4 linked regions of the Mus musculus genome follow. The protein of the gene in region 1 interacts with the protein of each later gene in a pairwise test. Links are inferred from orthologs where the notes say so. Each region holds a gene or a part of one and is shown on either strand. Other genes may lie near its edges.

Region 1 (5,703 bases):
ACCCTACCTATGTCAGTTGCACTACACACACACACAAACACACACACTAATCCTGTCTTGGGGGGTGTTTTTTATTTTTCGTTTTTTCGGATACAGAATTTCTCTGTGTAACAGAGCCCTGGCTGTCCTGAACTTACTAGGGTAGACTAGGGTGGCCTCAAAATCACAGAGATCCACCTGCCTCTGCTTTCCCAGTGCTGGGATTAAAGGTGTGAGCTATGCCAGACTTATTTTAGGGTTTCTATTGCTGTAATAAAACACCTCAACCAAAAGCAACTGGGGAGGAAGAGATTTATTTCATCTTAAGACTCTCAGGCCACACTCCATCACTGAGGGAAGCTCGGGCAGGAACCTCAAGGCATGGAGGGATGCTGCTTACTGGCTTGCTCCCTATGGCTTGCTCAGCCTGCTTTCTTATAGAACCAGGACCAACAGCCCAGGGATGGCACCACCCACAATGGGCTGGCCCCTCCCTCCCCATCAATTGTCAATCAGAAAAGTGTCCACAGGTCCATTTCGGGGAGCATTTTCTCAATTGTGGTCCCTCTTCCAAAATGATTCCAGTTGATGTCAAGTTCACACGAACCACCACAGATCCTGAGATCACTGTGGCTGGAACAGAGTGGGAGAGATGAAGGCGCGTGGGGGAAGGCCACAGTATGCAGGGTGTTGAAAGCTAGTGTGCTCTGGTGTGTGGTGGATTCTGAGGGGAACTGACCTGCTGCAGGCGTTCACTTGTGCCATCTGATGACTGTGAGCGGAACAGTCTGGCGGTGGACCATAATCCTGAAGGTGGAGGAGGGGTGAAGTGGCCCGGGGCGTTTAGTGGAGGTGACCAGAAACCTACAGATTATGGGTGATGTTAAACCCAGATATGGTGGGACAAGCCTGTAATGATAAGGACTTCAGAGGCTCAGATGAGAGGATCACAGTTTAACACTAGCTTTGACGAGATAGGCAAATGTCTCAAAACAAAACTAGGACAAGTAGGGATACAGAATCCTCCAGTCAGGGCTGTGGGCGTGACTGGGGGGGGTAGAGTGACAGCCTAGAATCCTCCAATGAGGGGCTAGGGGCGTGGCTTAGCACAGCTTTCAGAGACTTCTCACAACAACAAAAATGAATTCTCCTGAATGTAGTGGGCACACTTGAAATCTCAACTACTTGGGAGGCTGAAGTGGGGGGTGGCTTCAGTTGGGGAGGTATAAATGACTAAAAATTTAGAAAGGAATAAAGTGGAGAGGGCTGGAGAGTTGTCTCAGCAGTTAAGAGCACTGGCTGCTCTTCCAGAAGACCCAGGTTTGATTCAAAGAATCCAAGTGGCATCTCACAACTGACTCTAGTTCTAAGGGACCTGACACCCTCACACAGACACACATGCAGGGAAAATGCCAATGTATATAAATAAAAAAATTAATCTTAAAAATATAAAAAACGTGGTGATCGTCCTGTGTCCCCCATCACCTTGCCAGTAGCTACACTCCCCTAGTTAGGCCTCTGTGGCAGCTGGGGACCGTTCCAGGCCACATTGACGGGGCTGCTGTTGCTGTAGAGAATTGGTTGAATATGTGAAGCCATGGCCTGATCCCCTATCACTGGCAGGTACAGGAGCTGGAGGATTCCCTGATGCAGATGGAGGCCTCCCCACCTACCCCCATCCTCAGAGCAGGGCGTAGAAACAGCAACTCCAGTACTTCTGGGGCAGAAAGGAGACCCTGGGTACCTCAGGTAAGCCTAAAGTCTTCTGAGTCCAAGTCATGATGTTCCCAGCATTCCCAGTGTGAGTGGTAACCGTCAGTTTGTGCTTTATGGGATGCCATAATATTGTGTGACAAAAAGTTTTCCTGGGGAAACACTACACACATCAACTGACCACAGATGGGGAGCCTGTGGCACATCAAAATATGGACACCACCAATGTCCAATTTGGTGAACCAATGAGTTTTATTGGGGTTACAAATAGGACTAAGGCTATATATTATGGGTATGAATATGGGTACATATAGGATTGTAGTTACATATAGGTTGATGGGCAGAATGATTCAAAGACAGCTGCATCACCAAAGCCTGAGTGACAGCGTGACAGCATGAGTGACAGTGTGAATGATAGCGTGAGTGATAACTCACAAAAGCTGGGGACATAGAGCTCACTACAAAGCCTGCAGGTTGGAGATTGTTCCTTCTTAGTGACTCTGGTCTCACCCTTCTTCAGACAGCTGGTCTGGTCTCAAGGTCTTCTTTGCACACTTGTTTGTTCTCTCATCTCAGAGGGACTTTCCTTACTCTGGCAGGGAGGGGCCTAGTCCATCTGTTTAGTTTCTCAGACTTTCTGAAACTAGAGTTGTTTACCTTCCTGCTTCAGGAGCAAATCTGCAGGATGGAATGTCTCTATCTGGGAGGAAACTGTCCATACAACCTGTAGTATCTGAAAGAACTAAACAGGACTTGGAAACATGGCTCGATGGTTAGGGGTGCTAGCTGTTCTCATAGAGTACTCAGGTTCAGTTCTCTGTACCCACATGGCAGCTCACAATCATCTGCAACTCTTCATTCCAGGAGATCTGATGCCTTCTTCAGGGCTCCACAGGCACCAGGCATGCACATACACAGGCAAACACCCATACACAGAAGATTAAAAGAAAAAAAGCTTAAATCACCAGTTTGGTAGCTCAAAGCAGTCACCCCCTAGTCATTCTAACCACTTAAGAAGCGGAGACGTGACTAGTAAGAAAAAATAAAATCATTGGTGAGATGCTTCAGCTTTTTGGAGCACTCAACCCCCTGGATCCCACAAAGTAAAAAGAGAGAACTGACTCCAGTGTGCTATCCCCTGACACCCATTCACATACCATGGTGCGCACGCACGCACGCACGCACGCATACATCCCACATATGTATACCAACACTCCCCAAAGCAAAGATGCAGCTGTACCTTAGTGGTGAAACAGATGGGTAACATGATCCAAGGCCCTGGTTCCACCCCCAGCCCTGCAAAAAAAAAGGGGGAGAAAAACACCTCTGGGGCTTTGATGTCAGGTAAATCAAGTCATGTCTTCCTGGCAGGACTCTTCCATGGCTCACCCCTTTCTCCAACGCCTCCGGAGTGACTCCAGCACCCAGAGCTTTGGGTGCCTTTCCACACAGCATCCAGCCCCAGAGACGTACCTCATGGAAGACCAGATGGGGCAGCTCCAGGGGTGAGCAGCTGAGTTACAGCTGCTGAGCTTTTAAAGATACCATTACTCTTGCCACTGGGTTGTGGTGGGGAGGGGGGAAAACCAGCCCTGGGTGATTGGAGCCTCACTCACCTTCCCTGTTGCCCACCTTTGGAGGCAGGAGCATTGAGAAGTTGAAGTGCTTCAACCGTCTTCTTCTGGCTGTGCTCCAGGGCTACAAGGGCCGTTGTGAGAGCCTCAGCATTAAGCTGGCCAAGCGGGAAGCCGAGGCCACAGCCCTGCGCCTGGCTCTGCAGTATAGGTGCGTGCCTGCTCCCAGTGATGGTGGTGGCTGAGGGTGGCATGGTGTTGCATGCCAGGATGGTACAGAGGGACACACAACCTTCAGAGGGTGCATTGCCTCACCATGACATGTTACTCTGACCCATAAAGAATGAGTGGTGGCGCATGCCTTTAATCCCAGCACTTGGAAGGCAGAGACAGGCAGATTTCTGAGTTCGAGGTCAGCCTGGTCCACAGAGTTAGTTCCAGGACAGCCAGGGCTACACAGAGAAACCCTGTCTCGAAAACCAAAAATAAATAAATAAATAAATAAATAAAAGAACAAGTGGTGGGAGGTGTCTTTTGTGGATTGTTGTATATTATTTGAGACAGGGTCTCACTGTGTAGCCCAGACTGGCCTGGAACTCACAGAGATCTGCCTGCCTCTGCCTGGGTTGGGGCTGAGTACTGAAACATTTAGATCCTATCCCACAGTGAGGACTGTGAGGAGGTGTATGAGGTGCTGCTAGCTCTGAAGATGGCTGGCCTAGGAACTGGAGTTGGAACTACCAAGGGTGACCTGCAGGCTGCTGAGAAGGAGGCCTCTAGGCTGCTGATGAAGAAGGAAGCAACCATGGAGGTAGAGACACCCCAGCCCAGGTACCTATAGGGGGCACAAGAGTTGCTGGTCTATGAGAGTGACTGGGGCATGTCCCAGAGACTGCTGTACAAAGGGCTTTGGTGTCAGGGGCATTGGACACTGCCCAGCATTGGCTCTGAGCTGTCTAACCATGTTTGGCTGACACAAGGTCTGACTGGAGTAGGTTACTCAGTGGCACCAGGTACGCTAATTGTCTTTGATCTTAGTACTCAGGAGACAGAGTTAGAGTAGTTCCAGGCTAGCCCACACAGTGTGATTCTGTTTGAAATAAATACAACACCAAATACACACATTCGCAAAGCATCAAGTGCCGTGGACCCTGGTTTTAGTCTCTAAAACTGGGTTTAAAAAAAATCAGTGACGTTTATTAAGTTTATTAGGTTATTGTTAAGTTTTGGCTCATGACTTCAGAGGTGTCAATTCATCATAGCAGGCAGGAAGTAAAGAGGAGGGGTACAGGAAGTGGCCAGGGCTTCACATAGCCCCAAAGGAAAGTGGCACTGATGACAGGCAATCTGTAAACCTGGCAAGGTTATCAATGCACTTCTAAGGAGTGTCCATGGCAATGACTGTAAGCTCCTGGTTTTGTCTCTGCACAGAGAGTCTTCACTGCCAATGCAGCCTTGGTGTCCAGCATGAGCTGGGCACACCTCAGAAGTGAATTCAAACTCCCCTAGTGACATAGTTACTACTATCAAGGCTCACCACCTTGCAGCGTACTGAAGGCGACCTCTGGTATTGAATTCCTGACACTCCTGCCTCCATCTCCTGAGAGCTGGGATGTTAACATGGTGCCAGGCATGGAACCCCATGCATGCTAGGCAAGCTCTGTGGACTGAGTTACAATCACTCTACTGGCTGAGCCCCAGTACCTGCCATATTATAATACTGGAAGATTGTTCACTGGGTGTAGGTTGTGCTATGGATGCTCTTGGTAGGCCCTAGGTGGCATAAAACTGTGGTTCCTAAGAGCTATGTGTTGGGAACAGCTGGTCTACCTCCTGTCTCTTATAGCTCAGAGGGCAGTGGTGTGGACAAGCCTACACCAGAGGAACTGGCCTCTCAGCTCCATGGCTATGTCCAGCATCTCCGGGAACGCTGGGCTCTGGTGAAGATCCCCGAAGAACTTGGCCCTGTCACTGCACCCAAGGCCACTATGCCCCATGCAGAAGCAACAGTGCAGGCCATTCTGGAGATACAACCTGGCCCCACCTTGCCCCATCTGGAGAAGTCTCAGATCCAGCAGGACCTAGCAGCTACTCGGGTAGGAACATGCTGAGATGGTCACGACAAATCCTTGATGATGTCATTGGAGCCCAGAGGCAAGCAGGGTATCCCTTAGGTGGGGAGCTGGTTTCTTGTATGAAGGAGAACTGGAAGTGAAGTTTTGAGGACTGCATAGGAGTTTGTCCTCCTGATTAGGTTTTCCATAAGATTCTATAAGTTCCCTTTGGTTGCTATGATGAAATAAATCTCTGACAGGAACAATTTCAGGAAGGAAGGTTTGTTCCTGCTTGGCTGACAGTTCCAGGGTGTGGTCTGTCATGGCAGGAAGTCATGACTGCCAGAGCCTGAGGCGGCTATCACATTGCCTCTGTAGTTAGG
Region 2 (6,193 bases), on another chromosome or scaffold:
CTGGATTATATAAGGATGAGCCTCTGGGGGAGGGGAAACCCAGCCCCTGGTCCAGAAAGTTCAGGGTAAAGGGCAGGGTAGGCCAGGTAGGCACTGAGGGATGCTGGGAGAACCTGGAGGCCAGGTCCACCTTGGTATGTTAAATACGAACCTAAGCTGTTTTTCCTGGGTCTGAATCCGGGATGGCATGGACCAACTGTGGTCAGGAGGCTCCGGAGTCTAAGATCGCCTACCTATGCATATCGCGGTCCAGGGCTGTGGGGGTAGTAAGTGAATAAAGGTGCTTTGCCATCAGGCCTGATGTTGCATCCCTGCCTCCCATGGGCTGGAAGGACTCTCTCAAATTGTCACCTGACCTCAACATGCATGTCACGGTACACATAAACCCAAAATAAATACGTTCTATTTTTTTAAATAAATAAGTTCCTGGCCAACCTGGGCTACATGAGACCTCAACTTGAAAGCAAAACAAAGAGTTGGAGAGAGGGTTCAGTGAGGACCCAGGTTTGATTCACAGCACCTACGTGGTGGCTCACAACTGTCAGTAACTCTCCCGGGAGATCTGATGCCTCTGACTTTTGTAGACACCAGGTATGTATATGGTGCACATACATACATACATACATACATACATACATACAGGCAAAACACTCACACGTGTAAAATAAATTAAAAAAAAAAAAAAAAAGCAAAACCAAGAGAATGGTGGCTCCGCGCCTTTAATCCCAACATTTGTGGGACAAAGGCCAGCCTGGTCTAGAGAGTAAGTTCCAGGACAACCAGAGTTACACAAAGAAACTGTCTCAAAAAAAAAAAAAAGAAAAGAAAAGAAAAGAAAAAAAGGCATTAAAAACAAACAACTAAACAAAGCAAAACCAAGAACATCTGAAGAACATTTGAGAGTCTGGCTGTCTCACTGCTGAGAGTGTGCCTTGAATTGGACCCTTGCAATAAGGTAAGGGAGAAAAGCCCTGTGTTTATTTCTTAGGAGATATTGGAAGCCATCTTAGAAAAACTGAAAGCAAGCTAGACAAGCTGGTAATGCCTAAATCCTAGCACTAGAAAAACGAAGCAGGAAGATGAAAGATTCCAGAATAGCTTAGGCTACACAGCAAAACGCTGTCTCAGAAAACAAACAAAAAAGTGGCTGGGGATGTAGCTCAGTGATAAGAGTACTTTGGCTAGCACCACCTCGGTGTTCCGTGCCCAACACCACAAAAACTAAGCAAAAGGAATTTTCTTTAGGGACACACCTGCAGCTCCAGGACTAGCAATATGGAAGCCAAGCATGATTAGAATTTCAAGGCCCTTGTCTACACTGGAGTCCTGCTTCACGAGACTGCCTAAAACAAAAAGAATCCGAAAGTGAGTCCTAGAAAACAGGAAGGAGGGTACCAGAGACCAAATAGTGAAGAGCAAGCTAACCCTTCACTACGAAACCATATCACAAAATTAAACACACACACACACACACACACAAAATTTTAAATCTTAGCTCAGTTCTACGGTGTTTGTTCAAAATGCTCAAATGTTAAATCCCCAAAACTAAAAATAATAATAATAATAATAAGTTTGAGTTTGTTCCCAGAGTTGTGAGCAGTCTTTAAGAGTAAACAGCAACAGGCAGACAAATGCGGAAAACGAAAGCGTTGCCTGGGATCCAGGAGGTTCCCCCAAACAAGCAGCAGACCCCTCTAGGTTAAGCATAGACTCCTCCTACAAGACGGGTTGGGGGTGGGGAAGCAGAGCTCCGCCAGCTAAGGGGCGGGGCTGCGGTCGTTCAGGCAACGCAAGCCGCATCATGCTATTGGCTGCTGTCTAGTGCGTCATCCCCCCCCCCGCCCTCCGGTTTGACCCAGCCTTCGGAACTCCGGGGGGCGTGGCCTCCACCATCTGCCCCAAGCCTGCAAAACCGCAGGGAGGGGAGAATGGTGTCACCCGGTGTCACTCTTCAGTGGGGTCTGGTATAAGGGGTCTGCAGTGAAACAGAGGAGTGAGAAACACAGCTGGGTCCAAAGTAGCAGTTCTGACGGCGTTACCAGACTCCACCGTGGAGACTCCGCTCCGCCCCCTGACCAGTAGCCAACCTAAACCGGACCCGGCCCAGTGATGGACGGGGCCTAGCATCCGTGGCTCCTCTTAGCCAATGGCGCCCCGCGGCGGGCAGGATTCCAACCAATCCTGGCTTGCGACTGGCCTCCGGGGAGGAGCCGAGTGGCCCCCAGCCAGACCCAGAGGCCCGGGGAAAGTGAGCCGGACTTCTACCCAGCACTGGTGGAACCCAACCCTGCAGGCTTGTCGGAGGTAGTCGTGGCGACCCTGGCAGCCGAGGTGAGGAGTGGCCGCCTGTGTGAGATTTCCCTGGAGTTAGAGGAGGACGGGGGCGCGCCCCCACGGTAGGCGGAAGCGGGGTATCCCGAGTGGAGAGCAGATTGGTGTGATTGATGGACATTGGAGGGTGGAAGGCTGAATTCCAGCATCAGCACCGAAGGGGGAGCAGGATTACTCAGGAGTTGGAGTTTGGAGAAGCCAGGAAAACGGAGAAAGAACTTTGGAGGAGAGTGTAGGACAGTTTGAGTCTCGAAGAATAGGCTGAGTTTGGAGTTCCACGGTGTTCTGGACAAAGTGAGCGTTTTAAGGCTAGGATATGAAGCATTTAGAGGAACCCGGGAACTAGAGGAACCGAGTATTGGATTCTGAGACGCCGTCGTGAGAAGGGAATGCCGGGGAAGAGTTCACTGACTGGGTCTCGGAGCCGGACTGGGTATTTGGAAAGCCAGAGTCATTTGAAAGTGGAGCCGAATGAGGGGAGATTTGGGACGAGGTCTCAGAATTGGGATATCCAGTTTCGCCGGCGGAACTATGTACCCGAGAGTTATTTGTCGTCTTTGGGCGATGTGATGGGATTTGGACCTCTGCACACCGAGGACAGTTTGGGGAAGAATCCAGAACTTCCTGGGGTGATAGGGACCCAGAGAAAACAGGTTTCTGACTGAAGCCTGGTGGGGGAGGGGCGCTCGGGGCGTGGAGCTCGGATTCACCGCCCCGAAGGCAGTAGAGGGCGGGGCTCGGCGGCCGCTGGGCAGCTGAAGTCCGGGTTCCCTTCCCCCACCAGCCGGAGCTCCCGTACGCATGCTCTCAGAGAGGGCGGGCGTGTCCAGTCTCTTGGGTGTGCTGGGCCTTCTGGGGATTGTAGTTCCAACGCGACAGCCGAAGCTCTGCCTGGAGCCTTTGGGTCCACAGTTCCCAGAAGGCCCTGAGGATACATTGAGGTGTTCTTGGGTCTGGTCTAGCGACCCAGGGAAGGGTGGTGCCTATAAAAAGAGATGATTGGGTTGGACTGGTCGCTAGAGGGTGCAGTTTGTGGTTAGTTTCGCTCTAGCTGGCTTTCCTTTGGGTCGGAGTTTGGGAAATACTCCCTCTCTTTTGAGAGGTCATAGACTCAATTGTAGGAAGCAGGTACGGACAGAAATATTCTTGTTAAAAAAGGAGAAAAAAAAAAGAATTTAAACACACACGTCCCAGCTAAGCCTCGTCTCACACACATTTAATCCCAGCCTTCAGGGAGGAAGAGGCGGTACGATATGAGTTCGAGACACAGCCTGATCCACATAGGGAGTTCCAGAGCAATACAGAGAAACCCTGTCTCAAGTTTGGGTTTGGTCCATTACTCTGTGCTCCATACCTGTTTGTCCTGTGACCTGTTAGGAAAAAAGTATTGTGGGAAAACAATAACAAGATCTATTGAGACCAGAGTTAGGATTTTCACTTTCCAAATGTTAAAATTGATTACCATAATGTAAATTCAACGTTGTGCCTACCACAGACAAGTGATACTCAAGCCATGCCCGGATGTTTTGGTGATTTGTTTTAGGGCTTTTTTGTTTTTCTGAGACAGGTTTGTCTGACCATATTAAACTCTACCTGCTTCTGCCTCCTGGATGGGTGCTGAAATTAATGGCATAGGACACCATCTGCAATTTTTTTTTCTGTTCATTTTCCTATTTTAAATTTTATGTGTATGGATGTTTTGCCTGCATGCTTGTCTGGGCACTACTTGTGTGCCTGGTGGCAAAGGAGGCCAGAAGAAGCCATGGATCCTCTAAAAGTGGAGTTTTAGGCAGTCCTGAGCCATCCATGCAGGTTCTGGGGATCGAACTTGGATCCTCTAGAAGAACAGACAGTGCTCGTAACCACTCAGCAATTTTTCCAGCTCCTTTTATTTTTGAGACACTGCCTAGCTGAGGGTGACCTTGAACATCTGAACTCACTGCCTCCTTAATACAGAGGAGGTGACAGCTACAGGAGTCTCTCCACCCTCACTACTACCTGCTCCCACTCTGTGTCCTGTGCACCCCTCCTCACACTCACTTACCAGTCCCAGCAATCCTATCTGCATCTTGTTCTCTCAATCACATTGCATGCATTAATTTACCCATTCTTAGCCTTGTGGGATTCTCTGTGCACTTTAAATGGAGGTTCTGATACACACACACATACACACACACACACACACACACACAAAAGCTTCCCATAGCTACACAGGCTTGCTTGAAGAAGTAAGGTCCCAAGGTATCTGACTCCACTCTTTTTTCACAGGACATGGGAGGCTTAAAGAGGAAACATTCTGATTTGGAAGAGGAGGAGGAAGAGGAGAAGTGGGACTGGAGTCCAACAGCTCTTCGGAGCTACCAGCAAGCCCTGCTCCGAATCTCTCTGGACAAAGTCCAGCGCAGCCTGGGCCCCAGAGCACCCAGCCTCCGCAGGCACGTCCTTATCCACAACACACTCCAGCAGCTCCAGGCTGCCATTCGCCTCGCTCCAGCACCAGCCCTGCCCCCGGAACCTCTCTTCCTAGGTGAAGAAGATTTCTCCCTATCTACCACCATCGGTTCCATCCTCAGGGAGCTAGATACATCCATGGATGAGATGGAGCCGCCTCTGAATCCAGCAGCTTCCTCGAGTCCCCAGAATGAGATCGTGTCCCAGGCTGATCCTGTATTCTTAGAAGCTCTGAGCTCAAGGTACCTGGGAGACTCTGGCCTGGATGACTTCTTTCTGGACATTGATACATCTGCGGTGGAAAAGGACGTTGCACTTCCACCCCCGGAGCCGCCGCACAGCCTCTTCTGTAGCCCAGGATCCTGGGAGTGGAATGAACTGGACCACATCATGGAAATCATCCTGGGATCCTAAAGCTGATGGGATTCTTCCGGGCGTCAGCCTCAGTGCGCTGGGCCTTAGATGGGACTCTTGTATGTGTGCGTGGCGGAGGCGCTAGACAGAGACTGTGTGGCCTCCTTTCCTCCTATGTCAGGATTCCACAAACTGTCCTGCATGTGTGCGTGTCTGGTTGCCACAGCCTTCCGTGAAGGTGCGTCTTCCTCAATTAATTTATCTCTTCCGAATGCCTTAAGGAGACTCTATTTCAGGGAGTCTAGATTCCTCGCTTACACATTTCTTCTGCCTCCAGTTCCCACTGTCCTTATGACCACTAGGGTCTCAGGGAAGATAAAACTGGACCTGTCAAGGGGTGATGGAGGGGCTGGTCTCCGGACAGACTCAACCTCTTGGCAGGACCCCAGTACCAGCAGCCTCCTGATTCATAACCAGGCCGGACCATGTGCAATAGGGCAGAAGTCTACCAGCTCCATGCTGTGCTACTTAAGAGGAAAGAGGAGGTAGGGTTTGCAGAGGCGTATGTTTGTTGGTTGGTTGGTTGGTTGGTTGGTTTGGGGGGATTTTTTGAGTGAAATTTGTTGTTGTTGTTGTTGTTCTTGTTTTTTTGTTTTTGTTTTTTTCTAATAAAAGCATTTTGGAAATATTGGAATTGTAATTAAATCTGTAAACATCTCTGGGGTGATCTGGGGAAGAGCCTGCTAAGTTTCTCCAATACTTAACATCCTTTCCTTAACAAAAGTAGAGCAGCCGGGCGGTGGTGGCGCATGCCTTTAATCCAGGCACTTGGGAGGCAGAGGCAGTTGGATTTCTGAGTTCCAGGCCAGCCTGGTCTACAGAGTGAGTTCCAGGACAGCCAGGACTGCACAGAGAAACCCTGTCTCAAAAACACAAAAACAAACAAAAGTAGAGCAAGTGTAATATTGTATAAAGTGTAACAGTTGCTGGTTGCTTAAGGATACTGTCAGAACCACTTTATGCAAATTAAACCCTTTAATCCTCAGGATTAGAAAGA
Region 3 (6,371 bases), on another chromosome or scaffold:
GCCAGCTCTCATCAGTGTTACCCAGGTGAGGTGCAGAGCTAGTTCTCCCAACTGCAGCAGGTGCCAAGGGGCAAGGGAAGGAGGACATCACCCCTGCACCCACACCACTGTTGTGTTTTATAAAAGAGAAAAAGAAGCCAGGGTTATGTTTGGTGTGGGGGATGGAGGTGCCTCTGTGGGCCCATGCTGAGGCATCCTTTCCCCCTGACGTACCAGCCACATGATGGTATCGTATAGAATAGAGTTTATTCAGGGTATGGGGAGTGGAGTTGAGGGGTTAGTAGAGACAAAGAAAGGGAGAGAGAGAGAGAGAGGGAGGGAGAGAGAGAGAGAGAGAGAGAGAGAGAGAGAGAGAGAGAGAGAGAGAGAGACTGGCCATGAGCACATGGGGGAGAGGGGGAAGGGAATGGAATGGGGACAGAGGGGAAAGACGGTAAGAGAAGAGAGGGAGGAAGGAGGGTTTACCTTTTATAGTGACTCAGGCACACCTAGCTGATGCCAGGTAACTGTGGGGCAGAGCCTAGAAGGAATGCCAACCACCACTTCAAGGCAGATGAATGGCAGGGCCAGCTCTCCGGAGCTCTCACTCTCAGGGCTGGCCCACCTGTGCCCCCTCCATTGTGTTGGCTCCCGCTGAAGACTGGCCATGTGGATGGCCAGCCCCTGGGTGACATCGTCCATCCATACTTCGTGGCATGGTAGCAAGATGGTCTCTACAGTCTGCTTGTGCCATGTGCCCTGGAGCTGGTCTGTGGGCAGCATGGTTCTGCAGGTCTCTGTCTTCTCCCTCACACACTGGGCTCCACGGTGGTAGGCAGGCTCTGGGTGTCTATGGCCCACCCATGCTGTGGGGCAGAAGTCATGTCGGGGTGGAATGGTGGAATGCAGGTCTCTGTCTTCCTTCTCCCATGCTGTGCTGCCTGGATTTGGTTTGATTTGATTCGATTTGATTTGATTTGATTTGATTTATATGTCCTAGGCATAAAACAGCTGTGGTCACCAAGCCAGGTATCAAGCTAGGGTGCACTAAGGACTGCCATCTGCTCTGCCCCTGACTGATATAAGAACAGCACCAACAACAAGGTGTCTCTTTGCCCAATGCCAGGGGGATTTTCTTTTTCTTTTTTAAAGAGAGTGTCTCATGTACTCTTGAAGTCTAGGCCGGCCTTGAACTTCTGATCCTCCTGCCTCCAGCTTCTGAGAGCTGGATCACACATGTCCTCTCCCATGCCTAGTTTATGAGGTGCCGGGGATTGAACTCGGGGCTTCCTGCATGCTAGACAGACACTCTATCAATTGAGCTCTATTTCCAGCCTCCATCAGGCATTTTGTCATAGGACCAACACAGTCCTTTAAGCAATAACAGCCATCAAAATATGCTCATTGATCCCATTTTGTGCCTGGTGCTATTGTAGGCACTGACTTTTAGTAGTGAGTGGGAAAGATGGGTTCCAACCTGTAGAGCTCCTGGTTTGATGGTGAGACAGCTATCAGGCACCAGCCCATGTCATCAGCTGATCTAGCATGGCTGCACACCGGGTGTGATGGCGCACGCCTTTAATCCCAGCACTCGGGAGGCAGAGGCAGGCAGATTTCTGAGTTCGAGGCTAGCCTGGTCTACAAAGTGAGTTCCAGGACAGCCAGGGCTACACAGAGAAACCCTGTCTCGAAGAAAAGGAAAAAAAAGGATAGTTTTAGCATGGCTGCAAGCCCAAGACCATTGTAAAAGAAAAGGATGTTGTGGAAGACTTCCTATAGGAGGAGGTACCAAAGCTCATGCCAAGAAGGAGTTGTGAGCCATGTGAAGAGTTGAGCAGAGCTTACAAGACATGGGGACAGGCATTGTGACATCAAAGTAAAAGCCTGAGGCACTGGCAGAGAACAGGCAGGTGTTGTGCGGTTTATAGGGAGAGGATGGGAGGGCTGGGGAAGCTGGGGAAAGTAGCTTGTGGGTGCAGAGACTCGGGCTGAGACCTGGAGACTGGCTTTATTTAGGAGCCTTTGGCTGGGTGTAGTGGCTCCTGCCTGTAACTCAGATATGTAAGAGATGGAGGCAGGAGAATCAGGAGTTGAAGGACCACCTCAGCTTGGTGACTTTGAGGTCAGTCTGAGCTACATGAGACTGTCTTGAAGTTAGTCCATCAGCAAGTGAGAAAGCAAGCAAGCTTGGTTGGAGCAAGCAAGCTTGGTTGGAGGGCCGCTCAGAGGGAGGCAGAGGTGCAGGCTGGGCACCATGAGAAAAAGGCAGTGGAGAACACAGTTTGCTGTTGGGGTCCTATCCTTGCTGTTATGTTTCAGACAGTGATTGTCTGGATTGATGGAGAGGCGGGGGCAGGGAGGGAAGTATGAGAGACCCCGTGATGCCATGGAGTCTTGGAAGACTAGGGGCAGGGGTTCTGGCAGTCTTTCAGTGGATTTAGGGTACCTCGCTCATCAGCAACTTAGAGGAGGAAGCTGTCTGCAGCCACCGGGGTGGCAGAGGAAGTGAACAGAAGCCCTGCCTTCCACCTCCGGAACCTGTCTGCGTTGGGAACCTGGTCACCCTCTAAGCTAGTGGGCTCCATTTCCTGATTTGAAAAGAAGCAGCGGGTGAGTGCATCTAATCTTTGGCCTGTGGGGTCCCTGAGCTATTAGAATCTTCTACCTGTTCACATGTCCGGGTAGTGGACCTCAGAGAGGAAGGTGGAGAGGTTCCTTGAATAGAAACCCAGAGGCACATCTCAGCTGGGAGCTCACAGTCAGGGGGATCTGCCAAAGGGGAGCCCCACATCCAGCCACGTTGCTGAGGCCATTGCATCATTTTACTGAGGATCTGTGAGACCCGTCCCCACAGGAAAGCTCTGACTACCTCCCCCACAGCCAGATGAGCAGTTTTCAGACCAGAGCCACTCAGAGCTTTACCGCATGAGAGAAAGCCGAGTTCCCCACCATGAAGAAACTGCTGTTTGGGGCAGGGAAGGAACCCACCTGGGACCGGTCACCAGAGGCAGTTTCAGGTCTATGTGTACTTGGCTGGACACAGGGTCTAGCTTCTCCCTGTAGAGTTGCATCAGAGTCAAAGAGAGAGCGTGCTGGCCTATAGTCACCCAGTCTGAGTAGGAGGAGCTGGCTGGGGCCCAGGCTCCCCACCCCAGCCCAACTCTCTTTTCTCTTGCTCAGTTTGTGGGGTTTGGAACTCATTCCCAGGGGGCTCTGGCCTTTTGCTCCTGGCTTCAGGGTAGGACTCAGTTTCCCAAGGTTCCCAGGCTGTAGCCAGTTTGAGGATGGTGGCTCTCAGCACCGCCCCCCCCCCCCCCCCAGTGCCTCTTCTTCAGCACAACTCTCAGGTTCCTTGTTGTGAATTTCCTTCCAGTTTGACCCCAGACCTCCAGTATCCCAGTGAGCCTGGGAATCCCAGGCTCGTGCAGAGGCTGAACGAGGGACATAAGGGAAGAGTCAAAGGTGGCCATGCGGCAAATGAAACTTCCAGAGGGGAAGTGTGGGCGGAAGAACCAGAAGTAGGTTAGGGAACCAGAAGGGGGCCATTAGCTTCTGAATCTGATCCTTGCTGGGTACGGGCAGGCCTGACAGTGCTCATCACGAAGCTGGCTGTGGGGGATGGGAAGGTGGGGTGGGATGGGACTGCTGGTCTCAGTCTCAGGCCTGACACTGCGCATTGCATTGTGAGGCTGGGGCGGGGGCGGGGAAGACACGACACACTGCTGGTCTCAGGCCCATCACGAGGACGAGGAGGGACTGCTGGTCTTTCACAAGGAGCACGAGCTCTGGGCTTCGTGAGCAAAAGCCCTGACAGACCACACCCCAAGTCTGGGGGTGCGGAGCCAATTGGCGAAAGACTCATTCAAAACTGGAGGCTGGATGGGCCAGCCTCCCTCTGTGAGGCAAGCTAACATGGATTGGGGAACACGTCTGGGTGGCTTTGGCCTTCAGCCTGGTCCACCCCATCTACATCTGGGAGAGTCTGGTCTGTTTTTTACCTGTCTTGGATTCAGGGACCCTGAAGGGATGGATGGACGGCCACTTCACCCCACTGGTGGGTGCTTACCCTCATACAGATTAACCCAGAGCTCCCTTCCCACACTTGTCTGATGCTCTGTGGAAACTGGGGTGCTGACCTGGATGTAGAGAGAGGGTTGAGGTTCCTGGCCAGGCTTCCATGTGCCTGGCTGGCAGGGAACTTGCTTGCTTCCCAAGCTTTTGCCCAGGCTGTGCCCTCAGCCTGTGCGTTTTTAACCTTCCTTGTCGTGAGAAAATATCTTGACAAAAGGAACTTAAGAAAGGGAGGTTTTCTTTAGCTTCCACTTTGAAAGCACAGCCCCTTCAGAGGGAGCAGGAGGCCACTGGCCAAGCTGCATCGGAAAGAGGAGAGACAAATGAGGTTTCTCAGTTTGTTCTCTTCAGTTTCATTCAGCCCAAGATCAGCCCATGGGACAGCACTTTCCTTCTTACACTGAGGGAATCTAGGCATGCCCAGAGCTTTGCCTATCAGGTGAGTCTAGATCCTGCCAAGGCAAAAATCAGGATAAATCACCACAGCCAGCCTGGTAACTTGTCTGCCCCTGCAAGGTTTGGTTGACTTCAGGTGTCTCACACCAGGCTTCATTCCTCACACTTGGCCCTCAGTGTCTTGCCCACTCAGTGTCGGACTCCCGTCCTCCATCCATCTCTCCCAGTCTGAATGAAAGAATGAACACATGGTGAGCCTTGGCCTTAGAGACAGTAATGCACTCTCCTGTCTCTTCCAGGGAAGGCAAGGAAGAAGATGGAGTTAGAGTTCCTCTATGACCTGTTGCAGCTCCCAAAGGAGGTAGCTCAGCCCACGGAGGAAGAGCTTCCACGAGGTCCTGGTCCTAGTGGGACAGAGTTGTTGGATCAGGGGAGGGGGATAATGTGTGACCAGCTAACTAGAACAAGACAGGTTGTATCTGGTGACCACTCATGTATCCATCCATGTATCCATCCACCCATCCATCCATCCATCCATGATCCTTCCATCCATCTACCCATTCATTCATCCATCCATTTATCCATCCATCCATCCATCCATCCATTCATCCTTCCATCCATTCTTCATCCATATATTCATCCATCCACCCACCCATCCACCATCCATTCATCCATCCACCATCCATCCATCCATTCACTCACCAGCCATCATCCATCCATCATCCATCTACTATCCATTCATCCACCATCCATTCATCTATCCATCCATCCACCTATTCATCCACTCTCCATCCATCATCCATCCACCAATCCATCCATCCACCTTCCATTCTCTATTCATCTTGTCCACTCACTCATCCATGAATCACCCATCCCTTCATCCACACACCCATCCACACATTTATCCCTCCCTCCTTTTTTCCTTCCCTCCATCCCTCCATATTCACTCACTAGCTCACTCGTGTCATCAGGAGCTGACCCCAGGCCAGCACATGACTGCAGTGCTCTATGTCTTCTCCCACCAGGAGTGGGTATACTCCAGGTTTTGGGAGATCAAGCGTCTAGTAGGTCACATAGCAGGTTACATTTTATGAGCTTGGGCAAGTCAGTCCATTCCCTGACTCAGTTTCTTCAATGTTCATTGAGATCAGTTGACCCACAAAAGCCCCTCTGGGGCTGATGCTTTCTTGGTTTTACAAATTTAAAATGTGGAGACCCTGCTGACCAAGGTCTCAGGGAAGGGAATGGCCAAGCCAAAGGGGGCACAGAGGGGCCCCAGTGATCCACTCTGGCCAGAGGTGCTTAGCAGCATAGGTGATGCCTACCTCCGCCTGGCATGCCCCTTGCTCTCTTGGGTTGTTTTTTACCCTAGGCAGGTAGGCAGGGCTTCTAAAAGATGCTACACATTTGACTCATGACCTTCAGAGTAAGGGGTGATTTCTGAGTTTACATGTGTACCTCCAGTGTGAAGTGCTCATGAGGAAATATGAATGACAGGCAGAACGAGGCTCTACCAGGAGCCTGGGATCAGTGGGTGACCTGAAGGGAGATAGCTGCCAAGGGCCCTCAGGGTTCTCACACATGTCATACCCACCTCTGCTTCCAGGAGGAAAGAAGAAATATCTGTCACCCAATTCCAAGAGGAACCCCAAGTTTGAAGAACTGCAGAAGGTACGCCACCACCATCCCCAGTCCTGAAGTCTCTGGAGCCAGGCTTGGTGCCCCTTGGTGTTGTTATAGACACAACACCCCTGTCCACACCCTATCCCAACAGTTCTCTTTTCTATGCCAAGAACATACCCCTTCTTTCCTCTGGAAACCTCTGTTTCTATAGCTCTCTCTTGGAGGCAAACTAGGCCTTGTAACCAAGTGCCCATTGGCAGCTCTTGTCATCACCCAATTCCCTAGCCATGTCTCCAGGTTTA
Region 4 (6,301 bases), on another chromosome or scaffold:
AGTTAGCTCCTGGAAGGAATGTGGCCAGAGACTCTGAGAGTTAGAGGGATGACATTAAGTAATAAGGGTAAGAAACTAGCCCTCCCAAGGAGCTTGGCCCTGCTCAATACTCCACATGTATTAGATCGCCACCTCTCAAGGTCTCTAGCACCCGGGGTAGGGCGTATAGTTCTCCAGCGGGCCAAGTCTCTGGGTCACTGAGCATAGGAATCTTGGAAATCGGGAGGCCCGTGTTCTTAGTTTTCACAATTATAAAAGCCCAGTCCCTATGATGCACTACAGGGGCTGCATTTTCGGAATCCAATTAAAGTGACCTCTAAGTCAAACTTTGAGGAACCACAATGTACCAAAAACTACTAAATGCCGAGACAAGAGGTTGGGCACCCATCACTGCAGTATGCCTGCCTAGGTCGCCTGGCTCCTCACCCCCTCCTGCATGACAGCCCTGGGGCCAGGCCCTCACCGCCTCCTGCAGACACACTTTCCTGAGCTCTTGAAGTTTTACGCTCAGGGCCTCTTGCAAGGCTCGCTGGCGGTCAAGCAGCCCTCGAAGACGGTCTGACTTCACCAGTGGGGCAGCCTCTCCAAACAGGGCAGCTGCAGAGGAAGCAAAGGTAAGGACAGATAGGACATCCTGGAACAACTGCAGGTCCAGGGGCCAACCCCTCCCAAGCAGGCACAGGGAGACTGGGGCAGGGGGAGGGCAGTAGTAAGTGGAAGCAGCCACTGACCTGGGGCCGTGAAGGTAGGAGAACTGATCAGCTGACCTTTGACTTCCATCCTTGCACCGCTTGGACCTTGTGGCTGATGGCTGGATAAAGCCTGGCAGTAACACAGCACAAGAGGCGCTGAGGAAGATAATGCCATAGAACCCCTAGGCCATCCCCACTCCCCTTGCATCAGCTGAAAATATAAAGTACCCAGGTCCCACCTGCCTACCTGGCCTTTCCTCTCAGATTCTGTGTCAATGTCTGGACCCGCTTGGCCTGGTACCTTGGTTCCCTTCCCATTGAGTGCTAACACAGTAAGTGGGAAGCTGGGCAGACTTACAACACCTCCTCAGAGGCCCATAGGCCACAGCCAGGAGTCTCACCTAGGGAGAGAATTAACAGTAGAGTCAACTAGGTGTAACAACAGTAAGCACTTTCGCAGCCTTGGGTGCCTGGAACAGCTACCTGCTATATTACAATGAATCTTTCAAACCCCTCAGGCAGGAGGTCCATCATTATTAACTTTCCTTTTGAGATGAGGGGTGGAAAGCACACAGAAGTGAAATAATTCCCCAGTAAAGGGCAGAGCCTAGGACCACCCCTCTCACGGAACAGCTCCAACCCTAATAATGTCCTCTTGAGTGCCTCGACCCATCCATCCAGCTTTAGGGCCTTTGCCCAGGCTGTGGCCACAGCCTAGGGTGCTGTTTCCAGCCTCTTACCACTTGATTTTTATTTCTCGCTTATCATTTTGGGGCTGTTTTTGTTTTGACATAAGGTCTCGCTCTTGTAGCATCAGCCTGAAAGTCACTGTGTAACCCACACTGGTCTTGAACTCATGGCAATCCTCCCTTAGCCTCCCACATGCTAGGAATCTAGAGACAGGCACTACCACACCCAGCTCATTCTAAGGCTTAAATGTCCTTTTCCGAGGTGGCCCCTGAGTGATGTCTTCTCACAGCTACTGTTGAAAAAGACACTGCCCCTCCCTGTATTGTCATTTTGACAGGAAGCACGTCTGCCCCAGCGTATCATAGCCCCGGCACCTCAAGCACGGCTGCACACAGCAAGCAGTCCACAAACGGATGCCAGCGGGGTGAATAACTGCAAGGTAGCCAAGCCAGGCATCAGGGGTGGCTCTGCATCTATCTTCCTAATTCCATCCTGCTGCCCCACGACCTCAGGCTCCCTCCAGCCCCTCTTCCCTCCCACCCTGTTCTGAGACTAGCATACAGAAGTTACCCTGCTGAGAAGGGCGAGAAGCGCCATCCACAGCCACAGAAAACACATTACCTGCCCCTCTTTTTGTCCCGGGAAGCACTGGCTGATCATGGAGCACGCGTTGGCGAGCTGCCAGCCCTTCTTGTGCTTTTCTGGAGTTTGCTCCCTCCCTCCCACATCCTGCTCAGTCCCCAGCTGGGCAAGCAGGTGACATCACCTCCCACCACCTGTCCTAGCCTCTAAGGCAGGTGACTAGGAAGGCCTATCAGAGACAGCAGAGTTCTCGTTTTAACACCCCCCCCCCCCGACCCCTTGAAATCCACAGCTTGTCATGATGTGGTAGAGCAGACCCAGAAAACCAAGAACGCCAAGGAGAAGCCCCTTCCCCATTTTCACACTATAGGGTGTGCTCAGACTGTCTACAAGGTACCCCCGCCCCCCAGTTTTCTCTACAGTCTTCTGCTTGTCCCACAGAGTCTGTATCCCTCCCTCAAAGGACTCATGGACTATCCTCCACTGCAATGGTTAGGCAATCCCATAAGCCTTTTGTACAGAAAGTTTGTACACTGCAGGGGGTCTCACAAGCCCACCCATCTGAGGTCCAGCACTTTCGGCATGGTAGGGTGTCTTTAGTGTCCCACCTCAGCCTCCTCGGTCCCTCAGCCCCCGAAACTTCTACTTTCCCAGGACCCATTTTAATTCGGAAAACTTTCACAAGGCTTGCCTGAACCCTTCTCCACCCCAACAGAAAGCTAACTCCTCCCACCTTGGGTCCATTTACCCGTTCACCAACATTGTCTCATGTTTCACATCAGAGGGCCTCCGTCCTTCCTTCTTTAGAAAATTAGAGTATCCCGGAGTCGACACAGGGTCCAGTCAGGAACCCCGACTCCACCCCATCAGTCTGACCTCAGGGACATAGTTATGGCATGAGTCATTGGGTCACTAGGCAGGCTAGACATGGATCAACGCCCCACACCTCCATACCTGACTCAGGAACCTTTGCTTCTACTCTTCCATGTTCTGTACACTTGGAACTTCAGACTGCCTGACATCAGACAGAGATAGTAAGAAGGCAATCTACCACATTCCAGCATCACTACCATGCCCTCATATGAACCTCTGAGACCCTCCTGCCCACACCAGAGCTTTGCCTTGTCATTCTGTGGTCCTGTTACGGGCTTAGGTTGCAGCAAGCGAGCTACAGAGGGCACATGCGGGGAAACACACACACACAGAGGCAGGCCCAGCAGGTTTTTCAGGTCTGCCCTTCTGACACCACGGCTGAGAAAAATTCCTGGCTGTAATGACTGTTTACAACCAAGATACTTCACCTGGGTGGCACTCCAACACTGTCAATGAGAGCCCCATTTCCACATCCTGCCACCACTTGAGCAAATGCACACAGAGTCTGGACCTGATCCCCATTGCTCCCCCAAACATACAGCACACCCCCTTCAATTACTCTGGCTGAACAAACAAACAGAGGGACAAGCAGATACAGATGCCTGAACAACAGTGGTATCTAATCGGTTCAGCTCGTCTTCTCTGAGGCACTAGTCCTGATAAAAAGGGGGAGAGGGGCCGAGAAGAGAAGGCTGAGTCTCTGCCCCGTCCTTCCTCCTCCATTTTCCAACCAAGAATTATTTTGATATCAAGAAAGGAAAATGGACACGTGAGGCTTTGCCCTGGTCCCCTGATCCTCCCATACTGAACACCACCCCTCCTATCGCTACCCTATATTCTCAGGGTCCTCCTTCCTCAGATCTGGATCTCTAGAAGGGAACTTCCTCAGTTCCTGTGCCATTACCCTATCTCACGGCCCTGCCCCATTGCTCGCTGGTACTCACCAATGCCCTAGTGCTGGATGGCAGCCTCAAATATTTCCAAAAGAACAGTTGTCTCGTCCAGGCCCTAGCTTTCCTGGCAGTACAAGTGAACAGCAGTGACTGCTGTCTTGGCTACCTCCCACTAGGTAAAGGCCCAACCTACCTGGACAGGATGGGGTTGGCCCACACCTTTTAACCCTTACCTGCCCGCTTCCAGGGCTAGGGTCACCCCTGGGAAGGCAGTCTGGGGGACCAGGTGCCTCGGGGAGCCCAATATGGTCAAGGAGAAAGCATAGAATGCTTTCCTCACTGCGGATATCTAAGAGATAACTGGCCAATAAGCTCTAAGAATTGTGGGAGGAGCCACTGCCCAAATCCCCAGGCCACTGGAGCCTGCCTACACCCCGGGACATGGGGGCTAGGAAACTGTGAAATAGACAAACAGACATAGACATGGACACACACACACACACACACACACACACATATCTTGGATCAATTTCTCCCATAATTAGGATGATGATTTTCTAAGCTGCAGAGAGAAGTTGACCTTTCTAAGGAGAGACCAGATCTTAAGACACTCCCACCTTCTGTACTCCAGGAACAAATAAACCTAGGAAACACCATCATCTATACCCTACAACCTGAGGGGCGGCACAGAGCCAGCCTCCGCTGAGCTCTGAGCCATGGTAGAAATGGGAGGCCTGACTGAGAACATACTAATGTAAAGGCACAGGAAAGAGCCAGCTGGGGTGGGACACACCTTCCTTTAATCCCAGCACTCAGGAGGCAGAGGCAGGCAGCTCTGAGTTCGAGACCAGCCTGGTCTACAGAACTAGTTCCAGGACAGCCAGGGCTACACAGAAACAAACAAACAAAGAAACAAAAACAACCATAAGAAGGAGCAGAACCAGAGTACTAGACTGGGCCCTGCGCTAGAGGAGCCACTGGCTACTCCTGAAAGGAGAAAGAATACGAAGACTCAACTTTATCCATGTTCTCCCTGTTAACATTTCTAGCCTGGAGCGAAGCAGACAGGGAAATAAATTGAAAACTCTAAGTCCCTCTAATGCCCTTCAACACAACCCTACCTGGGCCCTAAGCTTGTCTTGGGCACATACCAAACATGCTGTACTCCAGGTAAGACAATCTATTTTGTGACCTCAGAACCCAAACCTAACCCCTATAGCAGCCGCTGCCATGTATGAACAGGGAGGGTTTTAGGGGTGTTCCCTGTTGGGGAGGAGAGCCTAGAGAAGAGTTCCCCCAGTCACATGTTATCAAGGCCTGCTGCCCCAGGTGCCCACCTTTCTTCCGGGTTATGAAATGTATGTGTGGAACACAAAGGCCCTTTCCATCTCCTTCCTCCCTTCTCCCTCCTTTGGACTGCTAGTGGAGGCAAGGAGCAAGCTGACATCCTCTTGGCAGCCATGGACCCCTCCCCACCCCCCTTGCAGGAGGCCACCAAGCATGTTGGGAAATGGATTTTTTTTCTTAAGTTTTTGTTTTTCAAGACATGGTTTCTCTGTGGAACAGAGCCCTGGCTGTCCTGGACTTTTTTGTAGACGAGGTTGGCCTCAAACTAACAGAAATCTGCCTGCCTCTGCTTCCTGAGTGCTGGGATTAAAGGTGTGTACCACTACAGACAGCTGGGAAAATGGATGTTTATAACCAGGGACAAGAGAAATGAAAAATTAGGAAAATAATTCAGATAGAGCCTCAGAGTTTTGGTTACCTCATCTGTAAAATGGACAAAATAGACAACAGGGTCCACAAGAACATATAACTCACACCAAATCATTAATGGCCAATCATAAGAACAAGATATTTGGAATTAGAGAGGTGGTTCAATATTTAAAGGGTGTATGTGTGTGTGTATAACATGTATAATATACAGTATGTCTAATATTACATATTAGACATATAATATATAATATATAATATACATGTATCATATACTATATATCATATATTATATAATATATAATATACATATATATAATATATACATACATGTGTATATTATATATAATATACATACACACATACATATACACTGTTCCTCCGGAAGACCTGAGTTCGATTTGAGCATCCATATAGTAGCTCACAACCTCCTATAAATCCAATTCCAGGGAAATTCAACATCTCTCAGGTACCTGTGCACATGCACCACACACACACACACACACACACACACACACACGGTTAAAAATTACACCTATGAAAAATTTTAAGATTTCACTTACTTTTCTTTTTTTTCTTTTTTCCCAAGACAGGGTTTCTCTGTGTAGCCGTCAGTGTCCTGGAACTCACTCTGTAGACCAGGCTGGCCTCAAACTCTTAGAAATCCGCCTGCCTCTGCCTCCCTAATTCTGGGATTAAAGAAGTATGTGCCACCGTGTCCAGCTTATTTTTCTGTGTATGAGTGTTGGCTTGATTGTGTCTGGGAACCATGTGTCTGCAGTGCCTGTGGCGTCCAGAAGAGGGCCACAGACACCCCCCCACCCCCCAGACTGGAACAACAGATGAACCATCATGTGG

What was found.
Region 2: the proteins of Ushbp1 (region 1) and Sertad3 interact in binary tests that used the Homo sapiens proteins (3 or more experiments, as listed by UniProt). The two-hybrid records come from large-scale screens. The link is inferred for Mus musculus from reciprocal best matches to the Homo sapiens genes USHBP1 and SERTAD3.
Region 3: the proteins of Ushbp1 (region 1) and Parvg interact in binary tests that used the Homo sapiens proteins (3 or more experiments, as listed by UniProt). The two-hybrid records come from large-scale screens. The link is inferred for Mus musculus from reciprocal best matches to the Homo sapiens genes USHBP1 and PARVG.
Region 4: the proteins of Ushbp1 (region 1) and Ccdc120 interact in binary tests that used the Homo sapiens proteins (3 or more experiments, as listed by UniProt). The two-hybrid records come from large-scale screens. The link is inferred for Mus musculus from reciprocal best matches to the Homo sapiens genes USHBP1 and CCDC120.

The regions. Positions count from the first base shown.
Region 1 is NC_000074.6:71,388,415-71,394,117, reverse strand, and holds part of Ushbp1 (Usher syndrome type-1C protein-binding protein 1), read left to right. Parts: intron 1-1,602; coding exon 1,603-1,728; intron 1,729-3,063; coding exon 3,064-3,197; intron 3,198-3,336; coding exon 3,337-3,477; intron 3,478-3,932; coding exon 3,933-4,097; intron 4,098-5,112; coding exon 5,113-5,362; intron 5,363-5,703.
Region 2 is NC_000073.6:27,471,541-27,477,733, forward strand, and holds Sertad3 (SERTA domain-containing protein 3), read left to right. Parts: upstream 1-2,299; 5' UTR 2,300-2,331; intron 2,332-4,599; 5' UTR 4,600-4,602; coding exon 4,603-5,196; 3' UTR 5,197-5,824; downstream 5,825-6,193.
Region 3 is NC_000081.6:84,322,243-84,328,613, forward strand, and holds the start of Parvg (gamma-parvin), read left to right. Parts: upstream 1-2,477; 5' UTR 2,478-2,589; intron 2,590-3,876; exon of another isoform or gene 3,877-3,891; coding exon of another isoform or gene 3,892-4,033; intron 4,034-4,745; coding exon of another isoform or gene 4,746-4,762; coding exon 4,763-4,841; intron 4,842-6,052; coding exon 6,053-6,117; intron 6,118-6,371. UniProt on the Homo sapiens protein: Plays a role with ILK in promoting the cell adhesion and spreading of leukocytes.
Region 4 is NC_000086.7:7,737,431-7,743,731, forward strand, and holds the start of Ccdc120 (coiled-coil domain-containing protein 120), read right to left. Parts: upstream 3,895-6,301; 5' UTR 3,782-3,894; intron 1,094-3,781; 5' UTR 940-1,093; intron 823-939; 5' UTR 781-822; coding exon 732-780; intron 598-731; coding exon 464-597; intron 10-463; coding exon 1-9. UniProt on the Homo sapiens protein: Centriolar protein required for centriole subdistal appendage assembly and microtubule anchoring in interphase cells. Together with CCDC68, cooperate with subdistal appendage components ODF2, NIN and CEP170 for hierarchical subdistal appendage assembly.